2 linked regions of the Drosophila melanogaster genome follow. The protein of the gene in region 2 purifies or fractionates together with the protein of the main gene of each other region. This does not show direct contact. Each region holds a gene or a part of one and is shown on either strand. Other genes may lie near its edges. The genes, in order: CG12054 and E(Pc).

Region 1 (4,901 bases), on a different chromosome or scaffold from region 2:
ACTCATGCACTTGTTGCAGAATTTAAAAACGATAACAAATGTTTTTTCTTTTGCTTGAACATGCTGTTTTGGTTTGTTTTCATTTCGGCAGCTATCTCAAAAACTTTCCAATAGCTGTGAAGAAAGAAATTCGAGGAACACAAGTCATTGACTGGAGTCTAATTATGTTGACATGGCAAATGCAGGGACACCTTTTCATTAAAACCATTTAATAACCTTCAAAGTTCATTGAATCATAAATGGTTGGATGGTTGAAATTACTCATCTCATAAGAAATAGAAAAGTCACAGAAATAACCTTGCAAACCAAAAGTATTTCAAGGTCAAAAGGGTTTGCTGGCAACCCAACCTTTATGCGATTTTCTTGTTAAGTCCCCCGATTTATAAAATCCTCATTTTAACTGGAATAAATCCCATATAATCTCTGAAACTGTACCTATTATGCGACTGTTTAGTTTGAAAATGAATCTTGGATGAAACCAAATGCGTTTTGGTGACTCATAGTTAGCTAGAATCTTATCTTTCAGATGAAATTCCCTGGTAAAATTGCAAAAACGATTTGACAGGTGCACAGGTACATTTGTTTGGTTTACTGCGGCAGTTAGCCTTTCGCAGCTGGTTATCTAAATGCGAGTGCAGAAACACTCATAAATAAATTATCCCGGGCATTTTCGGGACCGTACAACAGGTGCCTGGCAACTGTGAAAAGGACAAACCTGAAGGTCTCGCCGCCTTTTGCGTTGCCATGACAACCGAATCGAGCCGAAACGAAGCGACAACGCCCACTGAGTCCTGATAACAGGCACACATCCATATCCATGCACCCAGCCATCCATCCAACCATCCAACCATCCATCCACTCAGGGAACCCACGCATCGAATGTCCTTCGAGATAATGAAATGATGGGCATTTATAAGCCCTAGAACAGCTCGCTCACGTAATGGATACGCAATGGATGTGGGGAAATGGGCAAACGGGGGATGCGGGTTTTCGGGGCCTCGGGCGTATTTGGTATCTGGGCCTGGGCGATTTTGGGGGTGGCAGTTGCCAAGTGGGCGTATGCTCGTGCCTGGGCTTTATGTAATGCCCCGGGACGCAAAAGGGGGTGGTGGCTAGGTGGGAAAGCCTGCCCGGGCAGCCATTTTATATGTTCAAGTGTGCGTGTGTGTGTGTTGACCGTTATCACGCAGCAGTGGCAACAACAAAACAGCTGCCAACGTAATCGTCAGCTGAGCAACCCCTCTGCTTTCTCTTTCCAACCCCTCTCTCTACGCGTGTGTAAGAGAGCCTGATTGTGCACAGAGAAAAATTGAAGTGCAAAGGGTAATTAAATAACGTGTGTACGTACAGCTTACAAAGTAGGCGAGCTCTGCAATCACCACTTTACATTGCCCCTAAAGCATGAAAATGCATTGACTTGGATGAATGGTGATCTCACTCGTTAATTTTATGTGTTTTTGTAAATAAATTACACGACCTTTAAAAAGTACCTCATTCTAAAAGCAAAAAGAGTCAACCATACAAACGTACATACATAAAAATAACTCTCAGTGTAAGACGCACGGCATGTTCGGCATAAATAAAGCCCGTTAACGGTTAAACCACCCCCAAACCCCCGTTTTCGTAATGCGGCAACACTACTGAGCTTAACTCTATTGATTTTTCGCCCTCGAAAACCCCGCCCCTCGCCATACAATCACTAAAATTAGAATTTGTTTATTTCAGCCGGTAAACACACACCGTGGAAATGATTAATTGGAAGCCCACGGGAGTCACGTGGACGGGAAAGTTCAAGTATCGATTGTGATTGTGAGTGCGTGGTATGAGCGGAGGGGGAAGGCGCATGGGGCAGACAAGAAGCGCATCTCCTCCAACTTCTAAGTTCCAACTCCGATTACCGGATGCGGATACACCTGCCATGGAAACGAACGCCAGAAACAGCCGAACCCAAGCCAAGCCATGCGGACAGGTCAAAAAAAGGGCGCTCAACTCGCCGGTTTCCACTACACCGCAAACAACAACTAGATGCTGTGCTGGCCTTCCAAACACACACGCACGCACACACACAGACAGGCGGGGTTTTGAATGGATCACCGGCTTTTTTGCTTTTGTTTTGCTTGTGCTGCGCTCTCGCTCGCACCCGCACTTTCCAGCCAGCGCACCGATCAACGAATGCTGTACGCGCCTGGAAAACAGGGCGTGTGTGTGCGGCGTGCAGCGGTGTGTGTGGGCACAGGTAGCCATTTCCAGGCTTCCAGCATCGATTTTGCCTTTAAGTGCAATAAATGCCGAATGCAAACTGCAAATCATATCGTAGAAACAACATCCAATTCACCACGAAGCCGTTCACGCACTCACACACTGACGAACTCGCACACCTCTGCCCCGCTGCGATCCGATTTGTTTTTTTATTTATGCCGCGGCGAGTAAATAAAATAAACAAAACACACCGAGAACATCACGCGACGGTCAAATGATAGCGATATTTACGGTGTTTACGACCCGTCTCACCTATGTGGGTGTCCTCGATGTGGGAAATCAGATCGCTCAAGCTCGGAAACGTGATGCCGCAGCCATTGTACTTGCAGACGTTGATCAGGAAAACGGCCATAATATATATCGTATTATCATATATATATATATATCACGTATTCCGAAGAGAACGAATGTGGCGAGTTATGTAAAAAAACAGCAACTAAATCGGGGGCTGGTCAGTGTGGCCAGGTCAGCACTGCACCGAAACGTCCATTTCCAGGGCTGCAATTTCAGCTTAGCGGCGACTCCCACCCACTTCCAATGTGCTGTGGTGAGTTTAGGGGGTTATGTGGCGTTTGATCGGGCGAATACTGTTCGTTGGTAATCAGGCGATAATAAGTCGCTTTCGAAATTCAGCAGGAGTACATGGCTTGTTTTTTTGTTAGCGATGAACCCTGCTTGTACTGCAATTCAGCTGCTTCTGCCGTCTCTTTCCCTACGCCGCTGTTCGGTGTGGTGTGTTTCGCTCCTCTGGCGTTTCCTCACACACGCACACACTCATGCGCAAGTGATGTTATGCAATTGAGGGCTGCAACATTTTGGGGGGCGTAACTGGGTTTAACTGACTTCAAATTAGCATCAGTATTATATTTACTTACAGCATTCTGTGCTTCGATTCAGTTGCATTCGCAGTTGCCGCTGGGTAATTAAAACATAATTTAAGCCGACGTGACGTAGACACAAACACCGACGTCGAACGACGCGTAACGCTGCGTTTGTGGTGGTGTGCGTGACTGTGGTGAGTTTGCACGTACCAGGGCTGCACTGCATTCTCGGGCTCTTAGCGAGTGCACCCTCCTAACTAATTTAAGTCTAGCAGATACACCTTCCTATAGAACATTAAATATTTTGAGAATACAAACTTATATTTCGATGAAAATATGCCGGCCGGCTCTAGTTATTTACTAAGGCATTATTCCATAAGAAATTATTACAAGAAATAAATAAAAAATTTTATATTGTTTATTGCGTATAGAATTATGAAAAGATGCCAGAGGGCTCTAGTCGTTTCCTTTTGTATATATAGTTCCGTAAAAATTAATGAAAACAATAAATAATAATTAATTATATATTATATTATATATTATATATAATATAAAATTACACTTTTATTTCAATTTCGGGATAGGCATACTTGAAGCTTAGCTAAGGTTTATTAAAATGTTACCATATATATAATTTTTACATATGAATTTAATATTTTCCACCCCATCAAATATATTTTAAAAAGACAGGGAAACTTAGGGCACGATGAATATTATTACAACTGAAGTCTGGTTATATTTTATATACATAATTTCATCAACTATATTGATGATAAAAATATATTTCACAATACATATGTATGTAGTTAAATAAAAGAATAGATTATGTGCATGTAAAACACAAACGATTATACATACTTATTTGGCCCTACACTTGCCAAATTCATTGAAAACTTATCTAATTTATCTAATTATCTAATTATCTAATTTATCTATTGCATTTGCTGGTTGAAAAATTTTCAGAATGACCCGTTTTTATGGACCGTTCGCCAAAGATTTTATTTTATTAATTTGTAGTATAAATAAATAAACAAAATTAGAAAGACGCAGTTTCGTGGGAAAGGGCTATTTAATTGATTCTACGTATCCACTACTGTTATGGTCACACTGCGCCTATTGTGCAAGGGCAACCTCCTATTCTAGCAAAGACTCGCTCCTGGGGCGCGTCTCTGCTGAAAATGTGTAGCCAGGACTTGCACCGTGGATTGGGTTCTCAACCAAAATGGTATTTCTGGTACTTTCCAGTATTAAATCGACCTATCGTCCTTTTTCCCAGCTCCCGCTGACGGCCACACTTAGCACCCCCCAAAAGTCAGCGAAATTGTCAAATTCGTTTTACTGTTGTGAAGGGTTCGTTCGAAGTGAGTTGCTTTTTCCGGGTTTTTCCGTCCGCTGGCGGAGCACCCCCCTTATCAGCACCCCTCTGTTGGGTAACAGCCGTGCAAACGCCTCAGATAGCCAAAAAACGCGGAATTAGTGAAGAATCGTGTGAAATTTCGCCAATTAAAGTGCGAAACGTGTTTGATAATGCGCCGCCATCTTGCGGCACACTCGCACACACACACGTGTGCCATTCTGGTTTTGCAGTGGTGTGCGTGTGTGCCTCGAGTCGTTGCGTCACTGGAAAAGTTAGAAAATCGGCAAATTCGCAGAGGAAAAGCCAGCAAATCGGTTTCAATTGATGACTGAGCACAGATCGAGCTGAGAGTCGAGTGAAAATCCGGTGCGAGGGCAGATTTTCCGCATGTTACGTAACTTTTCTGAGGCGGCGTGGGACTTGATACAATGTATTCTTGGGACAGAAAGTCAGCCCAGAACTAA
Region 2 (5,138 bases):
TATGCACTTAGAGAAACACACAACAAACGACTCATGAATATACTATAAACCAATGGTGAATTTTTACTACTTGTAGGCGCGTTTTTGAAGAATAATATTAAATCCGTTTGAACAGCCCGATAATGCTGGGCCTTAGCTTCACATCCATAGATTCCTCACAATACAAAAAGCACTAAATTAATATCAAAGATCTTACCAATATAGCGGAATGCTAACATAATGGATTATTGGTATTGGTTGATGAATATTGCAAGGAAATGAGAAAAACCAAAGAGACACAAAAAGCCCACAGAACCAACTCTCTAGAAGAATCAGCAGTCGATTTTATGTTTTAATTTGAGTTATGGTTTAGTTTTCGGTTTCGATTATCCATCATGAAAATAGCAGATAATTCAGATTTTAAATTGACTTTACACCTCAGCTCACCACGCACACATCTAAATAGTGCTTCCCGCCACTCACCTCAATTCGCCATTTCACCCACTCACCCCAACTCACCACACCAAGTGGCGCACGCGCCACAAATTCCACCAGTGGCGTACGCAGGATTCTCTCAAAGGGGCTTGAAAATATTTTCTTATTTTCATTTAATTCTGTAATATGCTGAAGAAGAAGAGCCCTCTCCCTGCGCACGCCACTCTCTTCAACCACCAACACGGTTGCGCAGCCGCGACAGAGAGATATGCCTTCGCTCTCTCGCAGCTGCGCCACGCCCACCACCCACAGCCACCCACGAAAATGGTGCTTTTTCACATACGACACCACTGTCTGACTATATTTTTCATCATGTACGCCATCGCAATCCATGCCACAGTGGTCGCAATGCCGCGACAGCCGCTCCACAAGTGCCACCAAATACTATTTTATTTGTGTATTTATTTTCACCGAAAATGAATTCCTGCACTTTGTGGGCGGCAGGCGCGCGTGCATTGCCGAGCATCTGAAACGTCGAGGGTAGAGATGAAAATATCGGGCGCCGCCTGTCACCGGCGAGTATTACCCAATATAAATCGCTAATGGCCACAGGCGGTCGCCGCCCCAACTGTAATTGTGAACGTCCGTGCGGCCATTGCCCAAAAATGATTACATAATACGATCGAACGAACCGAATGAGAAGCCAAAGAACTAAGGATACGAAAGCAGCTGAAATAACGTTGGAGGATCGGCGCGGGATTTTGGCAAATCGAGCTTCTTCTGCTTGGGGCTTTTCAAGCATAAGGCTTTGAGGCTTTCTTTTTACTAAGCAGGTGCTTCCAACTCGCTTTGCTGGACAAATGCCCGACATAAGTTACCATTCAAAATCGCTTGGCCAAATCAGCATTACCCCCACAAATTGTTAAGGACTAGCGAGTAAATTTTAATCGTATTCTCGAATATAAATTGAGCAAACTTTAAGTCAACGAGCACATTTGAAACTATCAAGACATTGTAACCAGCAAATAAACAAAGTTAAGCAAAACAGCGAGTACGAAAAGCCTTGTAAGAGATTATAATAAAACAAAAGCATTTAAAGGAAGTTACAAAGTGGAGTTATTATTATTTGTATGCTGTATGCACAAGTTTAATTTAAAGAATCCAAATAAAATTCTAAGCTATCCAGCACACAAAATAAAACAAAAATTGTTTTACTCATTTAATAACTATATCTATAATGTCGACTGTTCAGCAAACAAGTTGTAAATACAAATTTGAATTAACAATTTTTTATAAATTTCGAATGTTAAAGCCCATGCGTTAGCACATCTTTGCCGATGCCGCAATTGTGAGTGTTTCCGATAGCTCGCACGAAATGCACTAGCGCATGAGCACTCCGAATTATTTGCACACCACTAGCTGGGCACCTGGTGAATGGGGCTGCGTAAATTAACAACAAAATAAATAAATGCAGCTTGGCCCCGGCTATCCAAATGTATGCATGCGACCCCTCACAAAATTCCACAGATTTAGATGAAAACCGCACTCAAAACGGTTAACTATTTCGCCTGGAGGCCTAGCCAAAATAATTTCGCCACTGTGGCGACGATTTCGTTCGACTCCGACAACTCCGAATTTTCATTCGTAATGGCCGCCCATAAGTAAAAACGTGTCCCGCTGCTGAAGAACGATTATACGCGTTTGCGCTAAGCCAATTGCTTGAATTTAGCTGTAAACGGTGCGGCAGTGGTAAATACGCTGAAAACCACATCATTTAATCATATAAGAGGCCCCAACGCCCGGCAAAGAGTGTGAAAAAAGTGCGTGAAAAAATCTTAATCGATTTTTTTGTTTGTGAAAAAAAAATCATGCAGCGTTGGGCATAGTGCTCGAAGAGCTCGCCAGGGGGCGCTGACAAACTGTTCGGAGTGTCATCGGAATAAGAGGCCGGCTATTTAGCGCTGCCAACGGCGATTAATCGATAACCGTAGCGGTTTTGAAATATATATTTTGAAAGGAAAACGTCATGTTAGAGCAATTTAAAAATTCTAGCAGTAAATATTTAATTTTTGCCCATATATGACAGGGCCCTGCAGTGAAATTGCGGCAATTAAATCGACGACCGCTTATCGTTATCGCCGCCGACGGCACAAATAAATCGCGGCCCCGCTGTCCGCGGCGTCGTCGGTGTTCGGCTCTCTGGCCGCCATTATTGCTTTCCAGCGAAACCACGCTATACGCAAAATCGGGTTTATATGTGTAAATTTTTCGGGCGATTTATCAACCAGATTGCGTTCGCTGATGCATGAAAAGTGCGGTAAAGTGTGTAAAAAATTAGCGCTGGCCCAGAAAAACATACGCACTCGATGGCTGATTACTAATTAACTAGATAAAAGCAAAAAACAAAACCCACATGAGGCGGAGTTTGATTGCGTTTTTTTTTCTCACTTAACAGAGTTCTGTACAAACAAAATGTTAGCTAACAGGGCTCTGCAAAGTGAAATATCTCGCGGAAAAGGCAGTATTAAATTCGCCGCGTTTGTTTGAGATGTGTGTTTGCGCGCGTGTGTTTGTTTATGCCGCCTTTTTCTTCGTCTCGGCTTTCTATGATTTTGCATTTTATCGCATTTAAATAAAAAAAAAAAATCATGACTCATGCGGATCGTGTTTTTGTGCGTGTTAATATTAATTTAATGCAAAAGCAAAGAAATATACAAATGTATGTGGATTTGTGAGTTTTTTCCCGCGCGCGCCGCCCTCACATATCAATGTATGCGTGTGTGTGAGAGTTGTTTACTTACTAGTTTTTGTTGTTGTTATCAATTCTAGATTTTTTATCAGCCAACCGATAACACGACAGCCAAGGCGAAATAATAATAAATAATAACAAGAAGAGGAAGTCAACAAATAAGCAAAAGAAAGAAGAACACAATATTGATTTAACCTAAAACGATGATGAACTGAAATGTGCAAATTTGATGAACGTAATTATGCCAATTCACACAGAACCTTCGATTTCAACGTGAAAAATGTCGTCGACACATTTGCTGCATTCACTGTCACTGTTGTTGCTACCACTGCGTTGTCGTCGTAATTGCCACCAGATCGTTTCCTTGGCCATTGTCCTGCTGTCGGCGCTGTCAGCCAGAGCTCCCGAGGATCAAGGAGGACGACAGGAGAGGGAGGCGGAGGAGGAGGACGAGCGGCAGGCGGACCGCCGGGAGAGTGTCCAGGGGGAGGAGGAGGACACGCCCTACATAGTCGCCAATCCACACCCAATCCTCACTAGCAGTAGCACTACGTCTTCGGCCAGGGCAACGGGCACAGGGGCTGCGTTAACCAGCTGGCAGAGCAGCCACAGCCACCGCAGCCCCGGTGCTCACGATCGGGATCGGTGTCAGGAACAGGAACAGGATCAGAAGCAGCAGCACCTTTTCTACCCCAGCAAGCCCCATCTCCAGCTAACGTATACAGCCCCCTCGACATCGAGTAGAGGAGCCAACACAACGCCGACCACGAATCGGAGTAGATCCTCCAGAATCCAAATTAGCAGTTGCAGCACTAGTCCTGCCCACTGCAGTTGGACCGCCGGAGCAATCGTAGCCTCCTTAGCATCCATAGCCACCTAAGCAGTCGATTCCACTAGGCAAACTCTCAAATCAGCCACAGCAACAGCAAATAGAAACGTTCCACACACCACAACAACCCAACCCAAAACCACCCACAACCAAAACCCAAACAAAAGCCAGCAAGATGTCCAAGCTGTCGTTCAGAGCCCGCCATTTGGATCCGTCCAAGCAGATGCCCATCTACTTGGCGGAGGAGCTGCCCGACCTCCCCGAGTACTCAGCCATCAACCGGGCAGTGCCTCAAATGCCCAGTGGCATGGAGAAGGAGGAGGAGTCGGTAGGAAGTTTCTCAGTGATCCTTTATTTTGGATGAAACTAATTTTGTCCCTTATCCCTTGTAGGAGCACCACTTGCAGCGAGCGATATGCACGGGTCTGATCATCCCCACGCCCGAGGTGCTGCAGACGGATCAGCCCTTCTACGATGCCTACTATCCGCCGGACTACAAAATGCCCCGCCAAATGATCCACATGCAACGTAAGCAAAAAGCAACTACTAGAGCAGAATAATTCGTTTCGTTTCGGGCTTAGAACATTATTTTTAAATTCCATATCAATATTGAATGAAATGCAATAACTTATGTAGTTTCGTATTATTCTTGGACTAATTTTTTACAATTGTTTAACTCTCAGCTCTTGGGCTGGATACCGAGGTCCCTGACTACGACATGGACAGTGCCGATGAGGACTGGCTCAGTCAGCAGCAGCGCCTGGAGCTTACCGAACTCAAGTTCGAGCAGATGATGGACCGGCTAGAAAAGAGCTCCGGCCAAACGGTGGTCACGCTGAACGAGGCCAAGTCGCTGCTTAACCAGGACGACGAGACCAGCATATCCGTCTACGATTACTGGCTGAACAAACGCCTCAAGATGGTAATAAACACTTAGCTTGGCTATTGGCTACGGCAATATACTAAATCAACTATCTTATTCATTCTCTAGCAACACCCGCTGATCCTCACTGTGAAAACTGAGAGTCGACCAGGCGCCAGCTCCAACAATCCGTACTTGGCTTTTCGTCGTCGCACCGAGAAAATGCAAACCCGCAAAAATCGAAAGAACGATGAGGCCTCCTACGAAAAGATGCTCAAGCTGCG

The links.
Region 1: the proteins of E(Pc) (region 2) and CG12054 purify together in Drosophila melanogaster (affinity purification with mass spectrometry, with the first as the bait; one large-scale study listed by BioGRID). This does not show direct contact.

What each region holds. Positions count from the first base shown.
Region 1 is NT_033777.3:31,219,076-31,223,976, reverse strand, and holds the start of CG12054 (uncharacterized protein), read right to left. Parts: upstream 3,276-4,901; 5' UTR 3,135-3,275; intron 3,065-3,134; 5' UTR 2,612-3,064; coding exon 2,512-2,611; intron 1-2,511.
Region 2 is NT_033778.4:11,450,150-11,455,287, forward strand, and holds the start of E(Pc) (enhancer of polycomb), read left to right. Parts: upstream 1-2,039; 5' UTR 2,040-2,234; intron 2,235-2,619; exon of another isoform or gene 2,620-2,736; intron 2,737-3,243; 5' UTR 3,244-4,167; coding exon 4,168-4,320; intron 4,321-4,384; coding exon 4,385-4,520; intron 4,521-4,675; coding exon 4,676-4,914; intron 4,915-4,983; coding exon 4,984-5,138.